Linked DNA regions of Saccharomyces cerevisiae S288C. Each later gene encodes a partner of the first gene's protein in a complex. Each region holds a gene or a part of one and is shown in the gene's direction. Other genes may lie near its edges.

Evidence for each region. Proteins that work in one complex are often made in the same cells at the same time.
Region 2: DEP1 (region 1) and CTI6 share a complex: the UniProt entries of both Saccharomyces cerevisiae proteins name them as parts of the RPD3C(L) complex.
Region 3: DEP1 (region 1) and ASH1 share a complex: the UniProt entries of both Saccharomyces cerevisiae proteins name them as parts of the RPD3C(L) complex.

What each region holds. Positions count from the first base shown.
Region 1 is NC_001133.9:125,447-130,987, forward strand, and holds DEP1 (Rpd3L histone deacetylase complex subunit DEP1), read left to right. Parts: upstream 1-3,823; coding exon 3,824-5,041; downstream 5,042-5,541. Other genes in the region: protein phosphatase 2A structural subunit TPD3, read left to right, coding at 1-1,340; bifunctional N-glycosylase/AP lyase NTG1, read right to left, coding at 1,457-2,656; SYN8 (syntaxin), read right to left, coding at 2,806-3,573; cystathionine gamma-lyase CYS3, read left to right, coding at 5,353-5,541. UniProt on the Saccharomyces cerevisiae protein: Component of the RPD3C(L) histone deacetylase complex (HDAC) responsible for the deacetylation of lysine residues on the N-terminal part of the core histones (H2A, H2B, H3 and H4).
Region 2 is NC_001148.4:200,347-206,023, forward strand, and holds CTI6 (Cti6p), read left to right. Parts: upstream 1-3,074; coding exon 3,075-4,595; downstream 4,596-5,677. Other genes in the region: tRNA (34-2'-O)-methyltransferase regulator RTT10, read right to left, coding at 1-2,190; TCO89 (Tco89p), read left to right, coding at 4,902-5,677. UniProt on the Saccharomyces cerevisiae protein: Component of the RPD3C(L) histone deacetylase complex (HDAC). Responsible for the deacetylation of lysine residues on the N-terminal part of the core histones (H2A, H2B, H3 and H4).
Region 3 is NC_001143.9:91,562-97,347, forward strand, and holds ASH1 (DNA-binding transcription repressor ASH1), read left to right. Parts: upstream 1-2,937; coding exon 2,938-4,704; downstream 4,705-5,786. Other genes in the region: MTR2 (Mtr2p), read right to left, coding at 1,183-1,737; ornithine decarboxylase SPE1, read left to right, coding at 5,196-5,786. UniProt on the Saccharomyces cerevisiae protein: Component of the RPD3C(L) histone deacetylase complex (HDAC). Responsible for the deacetylation of lysine residues on the N-terminal part of the core histones (H2A, H2B, H3 and H4).

The sequences.
Region 1 (5,541 bases):
TGAGAAAGAATATCCTGGCTTTATACTTACAACTCGCTCAAGATGATACTCCAATGGTGAAAAGGGCCGTCGGTAAAAACCTGCCCATCTTGATCGATCTGTTGACTCAAAATTTGGGATTATCTACAGACGAAGATTGGGATTACATTTCTAACATTTTCCAGAAAATCATTAACGATAATCAAGATTCTGTCAAGTTTCTGGCAGTTGATTGTTTAATTTCCATCTTGAAATTTTTTAACGCTAAAGGTGATGAGTCTCACACTCAAGATTTATTGAACTCTGCTGTCAAATTAATTGGTGACGAAGCGTGGAGGGTACGTTACATGGCTGCCGATAGATTTTCAGATTTAGCCTCGCAATTCAGTTCCAACCAAGCATATATCGATGAATTAGTACAACCATTTTTGAACCTTTGTGAGGACAACGAGGGAGATGTTAGGGAAGCTGTGGCTAAACAAGTTTCTGGGTTTGCCAAGTTCCTAAATGATCCTTCAATTATATTGAATAAGATCTTACCTGCTGTGCAGAATTTGAGTATGGACGAAAGTGAAACAGTGAGATCTGCTTTGGCTTCTAAGATTACAAATATTGTATTACTGTTGAATAAAGATCAAGTCATTAACAATTTTCTTCCGATTTTACTGAATATGCTAAGAGATGAGTTCCCTGACGTTCGTTTAAATATCATTGCCAGCTTGAAGGTTGTCAATGACGTAATAGGAATTGAGCTGCTATCAGACTCTTTGTTACCTGCCATAACAGAATTAGCCAAGGACGTGAATTGGAGAGTTAGAATGGCTATAATTGAGTACATACCTATCTTGGCAGAACAATTAGGTATGCAATTTTTTGACCAACAGTTAAGCGATTTATGTCTTTCATGGTTGTGGGATACTGTTTATTCTATCAGAGAAGCCGCAGTGAATAATTTAAAAAGGTTAACGGAAATATTTGGCTCTGATTGGTGTCGTGATGAAATTATTTCAAGACTGCTCAAATTTGATCTACAATTACTGGAAAATTTTGTCTCGAGGTTCACAATACTCTCTGCTCTAACCACTTTGGTGCCCGTGGTATCGTTAGATGTCGTTACTGAGCAACTATTACCATTCATTTCTCACTTGGCTGATGACGGTGTTCCAAATATTAGGTTTAATGTGGCCAAATCCTACGCTGTGATAGTGAAGGTTTTAATTAAGGACGAGGCCAAATATGATGCATTAATTAAGAACACAATTTTACCCTCATTGCAAACGCTGTGTCAAGACGAAGATGTTGATGTAAAATACTTCGCTAAGAAAAGTTTGGCAGAATGTCAAGAACTTTTAAAAAATTGATACTAGTTCAAATATATACATACATACACATATGTACACTTGAATGAATAAAAAGTATACATATTAACAACTAGGCCTGCTTTCTTTTCTTTTCTTTTTTTTTTTTTTTACCACACTTAGTCCTCTACTTTAACAGAAATATCATTTTCCAGTTTGACCATAGTTTCTTCAACTGTTTTCTCCTCGTGTTTAACATTGATTTCCGCCTCCACGTTCAGTTCACGTTTTCCTTCCAGGTATTTCACCCACTTTGGATAACTCATGATATTTTGCTGGATTTCCTTGTACAATTGAGACTGCAAATCCCAATCTAAGGAGCTTCTGGGATCATCCGGTGGCAAGAATTGTAACATGTCACCAAGGTTCCTCGATTTAGTGATTATTTGTCCAAATCCAACCAGCAACCCATTTATTTCTGTCCAAAGCCCCTTAGGCAGCCAATTTTGTAATTGAGTTCTTGTCTGATCTGGAGTCTTGCATTTCTGCGCATCTACCCATTTCCAAAGCTTGGTCAATCTATCCACGTGAACGTCAACGCAGATACCTTCAATCTTGCCCCATGCCTTTTGTAATGTTAGATAAGCCATTTTGGGCCCTACACCGGGCAGGCCCAATAGCTCATTAATCGTAGCTGGAACATCACTCGAAAACTGATCTTGAAGGATTTTGCAGGTTGACAAAATATACTTGGCCTTCCTTGTGTGGAACCCAACTGAATGAATCAATTCGTCTAATTTGGTCTCATTGATTTGTAAAACGGCCTCTAATGTCATACCTTCTTCGCTGTGCAGTTCGTCTATACAATACCGCATTATGTTAAGCATTGCCATTGCGGTAACTTCATCTTTTGTTTGCGATGATAGCATCACCCCAAGAAGGACCTGTAATCTGTAGTCCCTCGGTGATATCTGCTCTTTCGAGATACCACACTTAGAGGCAACCGTTACAGGAATGGATGATCCACCAATTATATCGACGGGGGCTAGAATCTTAGATCTCAGTACTCGCATTCTAGCGTATGTTTCTTGAAACTTGTAAGGGACTTTCGTCGAGGCCGGAGTGACAAGGATCGAGGGGTCCAATGGTGTGGCCCACCTGTTGGGCACATTGCCGTTTCTAACCACAATCCATTCGAAGTACTGCTTATTTGGCAGCGATTTAACCCAGTCGATATCCACGGGTTGAGGGACAACCTCTTCTTGTTTGATTTTGGTCCTTTTCTCCGGTAGGAGTTCTGATTCTGGCCCAGTTTCAGTCTTTACCAGCGGTCTTTTCCTCAGAATTGCCATAGATGAGTATTTACTGATCTTTTGCATATTTTTTTTTTTTTTGGGCTATAAAGTATATATAGATACAAATATATGATGAATCATTAAAGAGGAGGTTATTACTAAGTGAAAGAAAAAGAAAAAAAAAAAGATCAAAACCAAACTTCGTATTCGAGCCTAAAAAACAGAATATAATGTTATAATACTAATAGAAGCAACAGGAGCACCACTATCAGCACAAGAATAATCACGCAGTTGCCGTTATCCTTGAACCTAGAATTGTTAAAGCCATGCATGGACCGAGAGGCCCTGTTCAAATTCCTACCATTATTATCAATCAGGTTTTCTAAATCAACCAGCAGCGAGTCGTTCTGAGAAACGATCTCATTATTAAGGTCCAGCGAAATGTCATGAGTCCTCCCAATAGACTGAGACAGTGCGCCCAAGTGGGAATCTTGCTCTAACAACTGCTGTTGCTGGTTAATAAATAGTTCTTGGTTGGAAACCATGGGTTGTGGTGGCTGTGGCTGTGACTGTGACTGTAACTGCGATTGCAATGGTTCATCCTTGTATGGAGTATGCGTCGAAGGCAGCGGCGACTCCTCGTCTTGTTCATCGTCATCCTTATACATGACCGTAAGCTCGTCATCATTCTTGAACCGCACTTTTTTCAAAGACTCTTTGGACACCTCATCAGTATTTCTTGCCACCTGCTGTTGGAACCTATACAACTCCTTGTCAACCGCCGTATCAGGAATTTTGTCCAGTATGGTATTGTATCGGGATATTAGTTCATCATTGGGCGCACACTTCTGCAATAACTCCAATATTGAGCCCAATTGCCGTTTCAAAGTAACGTTATCGTTTGAGGTCGGGGCGAGCTTCAACACCGACACTAGCCTTGTTCTTTCTTCGACCAGATCAGAGAGCTGGTCCAGTTCATAACCCAGCTTCAACACATCCATACCGTGTGTGCTTACGCATCTATTTGCTGTCGTGAGATCTGTCTCTATGCTTTATTCGTTTTCCATTGTAAAGTCTCAGCATTTATTTCTTGTTCTTTACTTGTTTTTGCCCTTTCGGGTGATCAAAGTCGTGCTGGGAAATTTTATTCTTATAAAATGATTTTTAGAAATAATAAACTCATAACAGTGCAACGGCAAAGTACAAGGGAAGGAAGCACAGAAGCAAGAGGAGGCGCATCGATCGTGGCAGATGAGTCAGCAAACACCACAGGAAAGTGAACAGACCACAGCGAAAGAACAGGACCTTGATCAAGAGAGCGTGTTGAGCAACATTGACTTCAATACGGATTTGAATCACAATTTGAATTTATCGGAATACTGTATATCCAGTGACGCAGGAACAGAGAAGATGGATAGCGACGAGGAGAAGTCGTTGGCCAATCTGCCGGAGTTGAAATACGCTCCCAAGCTATCCAGCCTGGTGAAGCAAGAGACGCTCACCGAGAGCTTGAAAAGACCACACGAAGATGAGAAAGAGGCGATAGATGAGGCCAAGAAGATGAAAGTGCCGGGAGAGAACGAGGACGAAAGCAAGGAAGAGGAAAAGAGTCAAGAACTGGAAGAGGCAATTGACAGCAAGGAGAAGAGCACCGACGCCAGGGACGAGCAAGGGGACGAAGGTGATAATGAGGAGGAAAACAACGAGGAGGATAATGAAAACGAAAACGAGCATACAGCACCGCCTGCGCTGGTGATGCCCTCCCCCATCGAAATGGAGGAACAGAGGATGACTGCGCTGAAGGAAATCACCGACATCGAGTACAAGTTCGCGCAATTGCGCCAAAAACTATATGACAATCAATTGGTGCGGTTGCAAACGGAGCTGCAGATGTGTCTGGAAGGGTCACACCCGGAATTGCAGGTCTACTACTCGAAGATTGCCGCGATCCGTGACTACAAGCTACACCGAGCGTACCAGCGACAGAAGTACGAGCTTTCATGCATCAACACAGAAACAATCGCTACCAGGACATTCATTCACCAGGACTTCCACAAGAAGGTCACCGACCTGCGAGCCAGGCTGCTGAACAGAACCACGCAGACCTGGTACGATATCAACAAGGAGCGCCGCGATATGGATATAGTCATCCCAGATGTCAATTACCACGTCCCCATCAAACTTGATAACAAGACGCTGAGCTGTATCACGGGCTACGCCAGCGCAGCACAGCTGTGCTATCCCGGCGAGCCCGTGGCAGAGGACCTCGCTTGCGAAAGCATCGAGTACCGCTACAGAGCCAACCCGGTGGACAAACTCGAAGTCATTGTGGACCGAATGAGGCTCAATAACGAGATTAGCGACCTCGAAGGCCTGCGCAAATATTTCCACTCCTTCCCGGGTGCTCCTGAGTTGAACCCGCTTAGAGACTCCGAAATCAACGACGACTTCCACCAGTGGGCCCAGTGACCGCCACACTGGACCCCATACCACTTCTTTTTGTTATTCTTAAATATGTTGTAACGCTATGTAATTCCACCCTTCATTACTAATAATTAGCCATTCACGTGATCTCAGCCAGTTGTGGCGCCACACTTTTTTTTCCATAAAAATCCTCGAGGAAAAGAAAAGAAAAAAATATTTCAGTTATTTAAAGCATAAGATGCCAGGTAGATGGAACTTGTGCCGTGCCAGATTGAATTTTGAAAGTACAATTGAGGCCTATACACATAGACATTTGCACCTTATACATATACACACAAGACAAAACCAAAAAAAATATGACTCTACAAGAATCTGATAAATTTGCTACCAAGGCCATTCATGCCGGTGAACATGTGGACGTTCACGGTTCCGTGATCGAACCCATTTCTTTGTCCACCACTTTCAAACAATCTTCTCCAGCTAACCCTATCGGTACTTACGAATACTCCAGATCTCAAAATCCTAACAGAGAGAACTTGGAAAGA
Region 2 (5,677 bases), on another chromosome or scaffold:
AGCTGAAGATGATATCATTAGTTTGTGATTTATAAACTGACAACGTTGTAATCCAGACACATGCTTTCTTTGTGTCCAAAAATTCTGCACCTTCCCTGTTCTATTGTTAAAATATCCCAGCTTAATTGTAGTATCTTCAGATGCAGTACAGAATATATGCCCATCCTTAAAATTGTCATTCGTGTTGGTATTTGAAACAGGACAGATTGAAATATCTCTGATTTCCCTTCCGTGTACACCATTTTCTAAAGTTTCAGGCACAATGGAGTTGTAAATTTTCCTTAAATGAAATCGGGATGCCTTAATATACATTAATACGTGGCCATCAGTAATTTTTGCGAGATTCCACAGACGATGGGAACCACCACAAACTTCACTAGCTAGTTCATAACAGTTGGTTTCATTGTAGAGATAAAACAAGCTGGACTTGAACCCATAAGTAATGTATTCACCTTTTGAATTAAAGAAAGCGCCCTCCAAGAAACCTTTCATCATCTTATTAGAATGCAAGACCTTATAACTTAGTCGGTAGGGACCCTCTTCCAAACTGTTTTTCGTCAACTCAATAAATACATAATAGCCATCCCTATTTGTTACTGAGAAGACCGCAGAGTTGTCTTTATCTTCTACAAATTCGATTGAGGTTGTAGTGTCTCCGGGACTTAATCTCCTAATTATGAAGGGCTCCTCGCTCTCATCAAGTAAGTTGTAGATTACTAATGTACTAAAACGTGAGCCGACTAAAATATGATTTCGGAAGGAGGTCAAACATGAGGAAGAAAAATTTTCCGGCTTATTGAAACAGTGCTTGCTTTTAATTTTTAAGTTCTGAAGGCTTATTTCCAAACATACAAACTTCTCTCGAGGATTTGGGGATTGTAAAGTCAATAGGAAGGAGTCATCATCGTATTCTGTAACGAGACAGTTATTTGTCTTAGAAAGCTCATCTAAATGGAATTCTTCGGTCTCAATTATGTCAGCGCTATCTTTGCTAAATTTGATAAGAAGGATGTCACTTTTATTATTGGAAAAGACAGCGATATTTTGCGTTTGAATCCCATTTGTAATTGGATACGAGTTGAATTTTTCATTTGTTAGTAACAACTTCCATTGTTTCGTGACATCACTGTATTTAAGTATTTTACCCAATGAAGTGATAGCAATTACACCGAATGAAAACCATTGAAATCCCTTGATACTTTCATTCTTTTCGAAAATATCGCCACATTGCTTTGCGATATCATCTAGACTGAACGATGTTTCTTCATCGCCGTGTCTCTTCAGTTGAAGAAGATCAATCAGCTTTAACCTACCATCATTCCCGGAGGTTACAGCTATCATTTCGTCGTCTTTCACATCAACGCCCCATATACTCTTGATTAAATGTACTTCGTAAACGTTAGATATGGATAATTCGGCAACGTTTTCTCGTGATTCGATAATGTTCCATACACGGCATGTGCAATCTTCAGAAACACTTATTAGTTTTGAATCATTATCAAAAAACATTAAATTCCATATTCTTGCCGTATGGCTCCAGCCAACAGACAGCTGCTTGCCAGTTTCTAAATCCCACAGTCTAATTGATCTGTCGTCAGAGCAACTGGCAACATATCTTCCGTTGTTGCTTAAATTAACATAAAAGATAGAACCTTCATGACCCAGTAAGTTATGAATTTTTGTCTCCGAGAACAGGTCCCAAATGATAACACCGCCCATTACAGTACCAGCGTTAACATATACTTTATCCGGACCGAAAACTTTAATTATACCGGAATATAGAATAGATCTTTCTCCCCCAAGAGACTTCCTAAAAAGAACTTCACAATTTAAATCACAAATTAGCACTTTATTATAACATGTTAACAAATATATTTGCAAGTTGTCAAAGCTGAATGTAGCACCGGTAATCCAATCTGAGTTAATCCTTTCGAAATCCACCAATGACTCTTTCTTTAAAACGTCTTCAAGTTCCACTATTGTTACTGATCTTGCACCATAGGCCAAAATTTTCCCTTCACTAGAAAGGCTAAGTCCATGAACTTTATTGTAGTGAAATAGCCTACATTTGTTAATCAACGTAGCCGAATGATAGTCATAGACATGGATGAAAGGCCCATAACCAGCTAGAACATAATCATTGTAAAATTTAACACATAGCGCAGGACCATAATGAGACAAGTCCTTCATTTTAATCACTTATTCTTCTTCAATGAGCAACTTCAATTGGCGGGAATGAGAAGCTAAATAACGATGAGGTCCGCTAGCAGAAGTTTTTTCATGCTCATATTTTTCCACTTTTTTTTTCTTACATTTTTTTTTTCAGCAGCGTCGTTTTTTGTGAGACGCCGATGTGTATGCTAGGCTTAAATCTATCATTCAGACCCCAGTGTAAAACATAAGCGGTGAAAAGTACGTAGGGTAGTATACAACTCACCAAAGCACGACTACGTGAAAATGACCCTGAGAGTATCATCAATGTTATCGGCTGTATAAATAATACACCAGAACAAATTCCTCTTAAAGATGTAGGCAAGACCAGACTCAGTTTCTCTGAGCAGTACCTTCAATTTTCAATTTTTGATAGATGTTCGTCACTAATATTTTTTTATTGAGTTAAGTTCACCCACTTCTGGCACTTCTTATAACCTTGATAATTAAAAAGACCTCGGCGGTTATTTTTTATTTTGAGCAGTTATAAAGGGCATTACCCTCATCATCTTGCGGAAATAGGACGGAGCACGTCGCAGACAGGCTTTAACGTAATCAATTAGTTTTGAAAAATTTCTCCGCTATGGGTAAACTAGGTAAACCGCACAGCACAATCAGCTGCATTTTCTATTTTCAATTTTCTATTGGTGGCTTTTCACTGCATGATCAAAAAATAACGTTTTGTTGATTAGTTTTTTCTTTTTTGTTCTTGTTGGTTTTCGTATATGAATTTTATGTAACTGGGTATTTACAGGGGTACAAAGTTCACAACAGAGACCATCAATAGTTTGTTTCCTTCGAAGTTTACTTTGCGTAACCTTACTAAAAGATAGCATAAACATATAGGAGTATAGAGAAGAGTAATGGAATCGACAGCAATAGTGCCTAAAGGCCCTGTTGTGGGTAGTGAAGATATGGAGAAAGCGGAAGTCATTGCTAGTGGGTCCACAGACATTATATCAACAACATCAACAGCGACAACAACGGCGGCGATTGGAAGTGTACAGGAAGAAAGTGTAAAACAAGAAGATGTTCCTATGGAAGGTGGAGAGGGGGAAGTCGAGGAAGAGGAAGGCGAAACTCGCTGTATCTGTGGAGAGCTCGATACTCCAGATGACTCCGGATTTTTCATTCAATGTGAGCAGTGCAGTTCCTGGCAGCACGGTTATTGTGTGAGTATTACTCAAGACAACGCACCTGATAAATATTGGTGCGAGCAATGCAGACCGGAGTTACATCAGCTCTTTACCACAGATACTGGCGAAGCAAGGTCAATCTATAAACCTGTGCAAGAGAAAAGGAGGCAATCAAGAAGGAAGGCACGAAGTGCAGCTGCAAGTAAATCTCATGCCGCCAATGAAGCAGAGAAAAGTCCCAGAAATACCAGCAATACCGATGATAACGTCGACGATATCGGCGACGAAGAAGATGAAGTAGAAGATGAAGCTTCGGCTGTAGCATTAGCCAAGGACGGCAACACGAGGTCAAGTAGAAGGAGGAGGAGGAATTCAATGGATGATGCTTCTACCGATCAGTATTCACTGGATCCTGGAGATAGTGATAAGAAGCTACTGGATAGAAAAAGGGCAACTTTCATGGCAAGAGAAGAAAAGCAATATCAAAGAATGCTTGAAAAAGCCTTGAAAGAAAGCAGGAGGACATCACATCAAGAAGATCCTGAAAGTTATGAAAATGATGCTGATATATACCAAGGTGATACCGACAATCACAACGGCACCACTCGATTACAAACGGATGTTATGCTAACGGAAGGCAAACCGGACTCGGTAACAAATGATGATATGAAAGAAAGCCTACGACCATCGAAAGAGCAATCAATGGAAAAAACAAATGATGTGGAAAAAGAAGCTAGTCAAGAAAAGGAATCTTCTACGGGTTCGGCGCAAGACACTGAGAAAACTGATGAACCCATCCTACCCCTAACCTCAATATCTTCTTCTGAGGATGATTCAAGGAAAGCTAGTTCGAGGGGTTCTAAAAGAGTTTCCAAACCAGCAAGAAAGGGCAACAGAACTCGTCGAAGCAATACAAGTTCAGACACCAACCAAAATAGAAGGAGTGCTGATATAGGTACCGACAAACCAGTAAAGCCCAGATTACCCCCTCAAAGGACCTCATTAAACGAAATGAGAAGAAGGGTATCCGCTATTTTGGAGTTCATTTCTAGAACTCAATGGGAATTGAGTGAAGATCAGTCTGATCGAGAGGAATTTGTACGATTCGTGGAAAACCAGCATTTCGTAGAAAAAGTTGATACGATTTACAACGGTTATAATGAAAGTCTATCAATGATGGACGACCTGACTAGAGAGTTACTACTATGGGAGAAAAAATATTCAAATAACACTAATGCCATTCAATAAACGCAAAACACTGCAATATTATTCTCAACCAAAGTATAACTGTAATGAGGCGAACAAACACATCTATACATATATATACATCTATATGGATATAAAAACGACTAATTCAACGTTGTTTTTATCAACCGAGCTTACTCTTGTACGGGTAACCGCAAGGATAGCTAGTTGCGGATGGTATAGCGATTTGGCTGGCACGATGATTAAGGAATCCAAACATCTAATGGACTAGCACATTCTATCGATTTACGGGTCAGGTAAACATAGATATTGGGATATATCATATATCCTTACTGAGTAACTATAATTATGGTTCATCGAGGAAGGACTTTGAAGTCAGACACTGATGTAACATCTCTTAATGCGTCAACAGTATCACACCAGTCAAAGCCATTTAGACAGTTTTCGACTAGGTCGAGAGCAAAGAGTAACGCAAGCTTCAAAGGTTTGCGTAGAGTTTTAACACATGATGGCACCCTGGATAATGATTATTTTAATAAGCACAACGTTTCTCAGAAATGCAAGAGTTCTGATGCACTTTTCAGAAAGCGAACGATTAGTGGGTTGAATATGACAGCTTTAACAAGAGTAAAGTCCAATCAAGGAAAAAGATCAGCATCCTTTCATAGTCCGGTGCATAATACGCTGCTCAGTCCAAAGAACAGCAGTCATTCTAATACTGGAACTGCTGGTTTCGGCCTGAAACCACGAAGAAGTAAAAGTACCCAATCTGTTCTGAGTCTTCGAGATGCGCAAGAATCTAAAAAGAGTGAATCTACTACTGACGAGGAGGTGGAATGTTTTTCGGAAGACAACATTGAAGATGGAAAGGTGAATAATGATAAAGTAATAGCCGAGCATGTTATGCCTGAAGAAAAAAAGAATGTGCAGCAATTAAATCAGAATGAATTACAATCCCCGGATTCAATAGATGAACAAGAAGAAGATAAATCAGGTACTGATGGAAAGGAAAATCATAGAGCTGTATCCTTACCATTACCTCATTTATCTTCCAATAACTATTTCGGAGAATCAAGCCATTCTATAGAACATCAGAAAGATGGAGAAACATCTCCAAGCTCAAT
Region 3 (5,786 bases), on another chromosome or scaffold:
TAACTCTTCGTATGAGGATTTTCGATGGAGCAGGATGAGGAGAAATAGTACCACATGTATATATCCATTACAAAAAGGTTTATATACAATTACAATAGACCCTTGTTGGGGTTTCTGAAAAAAGAAGTAGTCGATGCCATCGGCAATAATACGGAATTACGAGAAACACAATCCCGATCCTTTTTTGGGTAATTACTTCACCGATTCTACCGATTTATCATGCCAAAAAAAATTCACCGTGGGTTCTAGAAGTGCCCTTTGAGGATTGTAGCCACTCTAACCCACACGGCCTCCTTACTAGCTGACTAAGGTGACAAAACCGCAAGGACTGGAAAGTCGCCACTCATCTGAAAATTCTCAAGTTTTTCACTACTGAGTTTATGCTTTCGAATTTTTTTGTTCGGTAATAGCACGGCGGTTCGATTCAATTCCGCCGCTCCGAGCGATGCTCCGCAAAACTCAGTAATAAGCTTTCTGATGGTTCACCCCTTTTTTAGCACGCGGGGTGTAACTCAACAGAAAAATGTGCCATAGAACAAGACTAGGCAAAAGCCAAGGAGCGTTTGCCATGAACTTCCACAAGTAAAGCTCGTTGACCAGTTGATCAGTTGAGGGGGGTACACACGACTAGCGCTTTCAGATATTAAAAAGTTTAGATGTAGGTTTTAGCGGTAACAGTTATATAAATCGTGTTTCTTCTCTTGATGAAACAAAAAAATGCTAGAAAAACTTTGTCGTTTCTTACTTTTGGTGCGCTTTGCAGTTTTCGTGGCTAGACTTAGAATCATTTCTCCTCAGATTTCTTGATTAAAGTTTGGTGCGAAGCCCTACTCTAACATTGGTGTTCTTCTTTTCATTCACGCAAGTTAAGTCCAGGAAGGTGAGCAAATGCTCATCCTTCTGTTCATGCGTGACGGCTGAATTATCCTTATCTGGCGTACCCGTGCAGCCGTTTCCGTGCCTCGGTTCCTCCGAGATATCCTTAGGGACCGCCAGGGACCATGATTGCGTCAACTGTTGTCACCGCTCCAGAGGATCCTCTGTAACCTTTTCAACCATAAAAATAGAAAGGGCACAGGGTTGGGGTATTTGAATTTTTTTTTTGGGTTTTTTCGTATTACTTATTACTTACCTTCTTTTCTATATAATTTTGTTTTTCCCTGGTAGAGCGGAATCTTCCCACTAAATTTTTAGCAGAGAATCCTCGGGTTTGTAAACCATGTTATAGTTAAACCCCGATATTACACCATTAAAATCATTTCTAAATATGCGGTCGTCGATGATCAGCTGCAGGGAAATGCCAAAATATGGACCCCATAGAGGTCTTGGCTTGTTCATATCGTTGGGTCGATTTCTGTTCCCAGTGTTATTTGGTTGAATGGGAACAGTCGCGTCTTGCCCCATCTTGTCTCTGCCGCTTTCGTCGAATCTGACTTTGCAATTGACGTTGCATATCAACGTGCCGGATCCCGGAATAGCGTGATAGTCTACTCCTGTTAGGGCATGTTGTGTTTGTACGACCTGGTTTTGCCACATTTGCAGAAAAACTGTTGCTTGCGCGAAGGGGGTAGCATTAAATATTATTCTGCAGTTGTTTGGATTAAAAAGCTGTACGAATTGGGCCAATTTGTTGGAGTCCGGATCATCCAAATGCGCTAATATCTTCTTCGTAAATGTGGCCGTTATTTGTGCTTGATTTGCGTCATTCATTACCATAGTATTACTATTGGTGTTCATATTTCTGTTATTACTGTTATTAGTTTGGCGTTTTGCCTGACGATCAGCCTGGTGGGGCCAAGTATATACTATAAAAACAGGTTAGTTACTTGCTCTATGCGTTTGCGCATCCTCTTTTTACTTTTTTTTTTTCAGTAAAGCCTAAGCATAAATCGTTTTATACGTACGACACGTTCAACTTTTCTTGGTTAGTAGTGGCAATCTCTGCAATACATACAGGGAGTCATGGTCTATCATCTTGTCCAATCAAAGAAGCATCGGTTCAGATCGAGCAAACTGTAGGGAGAAAGGAAAGTAGAAATGCAGAGTGTGCTATATGTCCAATCTCGGTTTTGTAGTTTGGATGTCATTAGAGATCTACCACCCAACCGGCTGCTTTCATGTGGAACAGAAAAGAAATCGGGGCGCTTCCTCTTCTGTATTCCTTTAATTAACGTTTTTATTCAGCCATCTAACCATCATACCCCCATACGGTAACAAAACCTCTTCTAAGAAAAGAAGTCTCTGCTCCTCCGCCATCTTATTTTTATTCGCTGCGCGCGTTTATTGTCGCATCGCTAGCCAGCAAAAAGTTGGTTGCCTTTTTTTACCTAAAAAAGACACATCTAACTGATTAGTTTTCCGTTTTAGGATATTGACGCCAAGCGTGCGTCTGATTTCTACGATATGTCTCTAATTTTGGAAGGGCCATTTTATTTTTGAGGATTGGGCTGATCATTTTCCTTACGTGGATTGAGCCAGCAATACAGATCATTATTAAACTGTTTTGTACATGATGTTAGTATATAATCGTAAAGCTTTTCTAATATGTATACCTTATACATGGAACTCCACAGAACTTGCAAACATACCAAAAATCCTTTATTCTTGTTCACTCATTTTACATCAAAAAATAATATTTCAGTTATTAAGGAAAATAAAAAAATAGATTAGAGAAGCATTTTGAAGAAATAGTATATTCTTTTATTGAACCTAAGAGCGTGATATTTTTACTCGAAATAAAATACGAAAAATCTATACACTCATCTTTCCGACTACTATTGGCTCCTGCTCAAAAAAAGAGGGAAAAAAAGCTCCAAAATTCTATCTTTTCCTATCGCTCCTGTCCTATCCTTATTACGTTCATTACTATTTTAATACTATCCATTCTTTTATTTTCAGTCTAAAAAAAACATTTCTCATAACGGGAAAAGCAAAAAAATGTCAAGCTTATACATCAAAACACCACTGCATGCATTATCTGCTGGTCCGGATTCTCATGCAAATAGCTCCTATTATGACAATCTTTTATTGCCTTCATTTTCCAATTTATCCAGTAATATCAGCAGGAACAATATCACAACCGATAACAATATAAATTCAGCAAGTCCTAGGAAGTATTCGTTTCATTCGCTCAATGTGTCGCCAATTCTTTCCCCAATATCTTTGGCTAACGAAATACTTGGAAAAAAATCAAATACTGCACCAGCATCGCCACATCATATGGATTACAATCCAATTTCCTCATTAACACCAGGCAATTCACCAGAATTCAACAAGGCAAGCTTATCTCAGATTAGTTTTACAAATCCATTGAACTATGGGTCTGGCTTAGGTTTTTCCTCTAATTCACAACCTCGACTACCATTGTTAGACAGGCTATCGTCCGTCTCTTTATCTAAGAGACCGGAGCGCCCACAACAAAGCCTACCATCACTAAGGCATCTGCAATTATTACCCAGTCCTCTTTTACAAGAAAACGCAGCACGCTTCCCTGATACATCAAAACGTACATCTAATTGGAAAACTGATCTTACCCATTGGTGTAAGGATACAAACTATCAAGACTATGTTAAAATACGCGAAGAAGTGGCTCATTTCAAGCCATTAAGTATACCCAACTTAACTAATAATCAAAATAATGATAGTTTCAATTACGGCAAGGAATTGGAATCGACTAGGTCGTCCAAGTTCCATTCCCCGTCTAAGGAATCATTTGATCGTACCAAACTAATTCCTTCGATTCTAGAAGCTAAAGATCAATTTAAAGATCTTTCCAACAATGCATGGAGTATTACTCCTCCCGTCACACCGCCGATGAGTCCACCAACCAATAGAACCATGGAGCGCACGACGCTTAGAGGAGTAGAGGCCTCTTTTTTTGAGGGGAAATCCAGCAATAACGATTCAATATTCAATCCAATTATTAGTGAAAAATTGGTTCAAGAAGTTAAACATCAAAGACAATTACGTGGAAATTCATTTCCCATGCCAAATGCCAGTCACAAAAAGACGAACAGTTTCAAAGCTTTGCAAATAAAAAAATTGCTTGCGAATAGAGACATTCTATCGAACAATTCCAAATCTAATGTAAGGAAACCATCTAAGAACAAAATCTCAAAGCAAGCATCAAATGTTTTCGGTAACACTGCAAGACAATTGGTGATGAAACTCGACAACGCTAGTTACAGTTCTGTCTCTGCATCTTCATCTCCATCTCCCTCCACACCGACGAAAAGTGGCAAGATGAGATCAAGATCATCCTCACCTGTGCGTCCCAAGGCATACACTCCAAGCCCAAGGTCACCCAATTATCATAGATTTGCTCTCGACTCTCCCCCTCAAAGCCCTCGAAGATCATCAAATTCAAGCATAACGAAAAAGGGAAGTAGAAGGTCCAGTGGCTCATCACCCACTCGTCACACCACAAGAGTGTGCGTGTCGTGTCATTCGAGTGATTCGCCCTGTTGGAGGCCATCGTGGTCGCCAAGAAAGCAAGATCAGCTATGTAACTCTTGTGGTCTTCGATATAAAAAAACACATACAAGATGTTTGAACGATTTATGTCGTAAGATCCCCACAAAGGGTGAAATAAACATTATGAAATCCAATGGAATAGACAAAGAATTCGTCCCCGAACGCAACTGCGAAATTGAAGGGTACCGTTGCTTATTTTGTAATTACATAACTGAGACAGTAGAGAATTGATACATGGATAACTGAATCTCTTTCAACTAATAAGAGACATTATCACGAAACAATTGTACATTTCTCTCCTTGTCTGTGCTAAATAAACTACAAATAAAAATTCATTTTCTTTCATTTTCATTCGACACGCCGCGGCATCTTCGTTTTCTTCACCGATTAATTTTAATCTGCGCCGTGCAGATATTTTCGCCCATTTCGAAGTGAAATCATTCTAATAACTTCTCCTGCGCAATAGATTGGTCATCCTGATTTTTATTCTGAAATCGAAAATGAAAAGCATTTATTGCACTGAAATAGCGGAACCTGCTTCTAATAAGCTTAAAATTCAATCATAATAGTGTAGTTAATAGAAAGGACAGAAGAACTTTTCGTTCCTTGGTTTATCATCCAGGTTTCAGCACGGCTTTTGTTTCAAGTTTAAGTAGGTAAGATTTTTTGATTGTTCTACAACTTTTTCATAGTAATCAAAACCTTTGAATTTCAAACTTACTATGTCTAGTACTCAAGTAGGAAATGCTCTATCTAGTTCCACTACTACTTTAGTGGACTTGTCTAATTCTACGGTTACCCAAAAGAAGCAATATTATAAAGATGGCGAGACGCTGCACAATCTTTTGCTTGAACTAAAGAATAACCAAGATTTGGAACTTTTACCGCATGAACAAGCGCATCCTAAAATATTTCAAGCGCTCAAGGCTCGTATTGGTAGAATTAATAATGAAACGTGCGACCCCGGTGAGGAGAACTCGTTTTTCATATGCGATTTGGGAGAAGTCAAGAGATTATTCAACAACTGGGTGAAGGAGCTTCCTAGAATTAAGCCATTTTATGCCGTCAAATGTAATCCTGATACCAAGGTTTTGTCATTATTAGCAGAGTTGGGCGTTAATTTCGATTGCGCTTCCAAAGTGGAAATTGACAGAGTATTATCGATGAACATCTCGCCGGATAGAATTGTTTACGCTAATCCTTGTAAAGTAGCATCTTTCATTAGATATGCAGCTTCAAAAAATGTAATGAAGTCTACTTTTGACAATGTAGAAGAATTGCATAAAATCAAAAAGTTTCATCCTGAGTCTCAG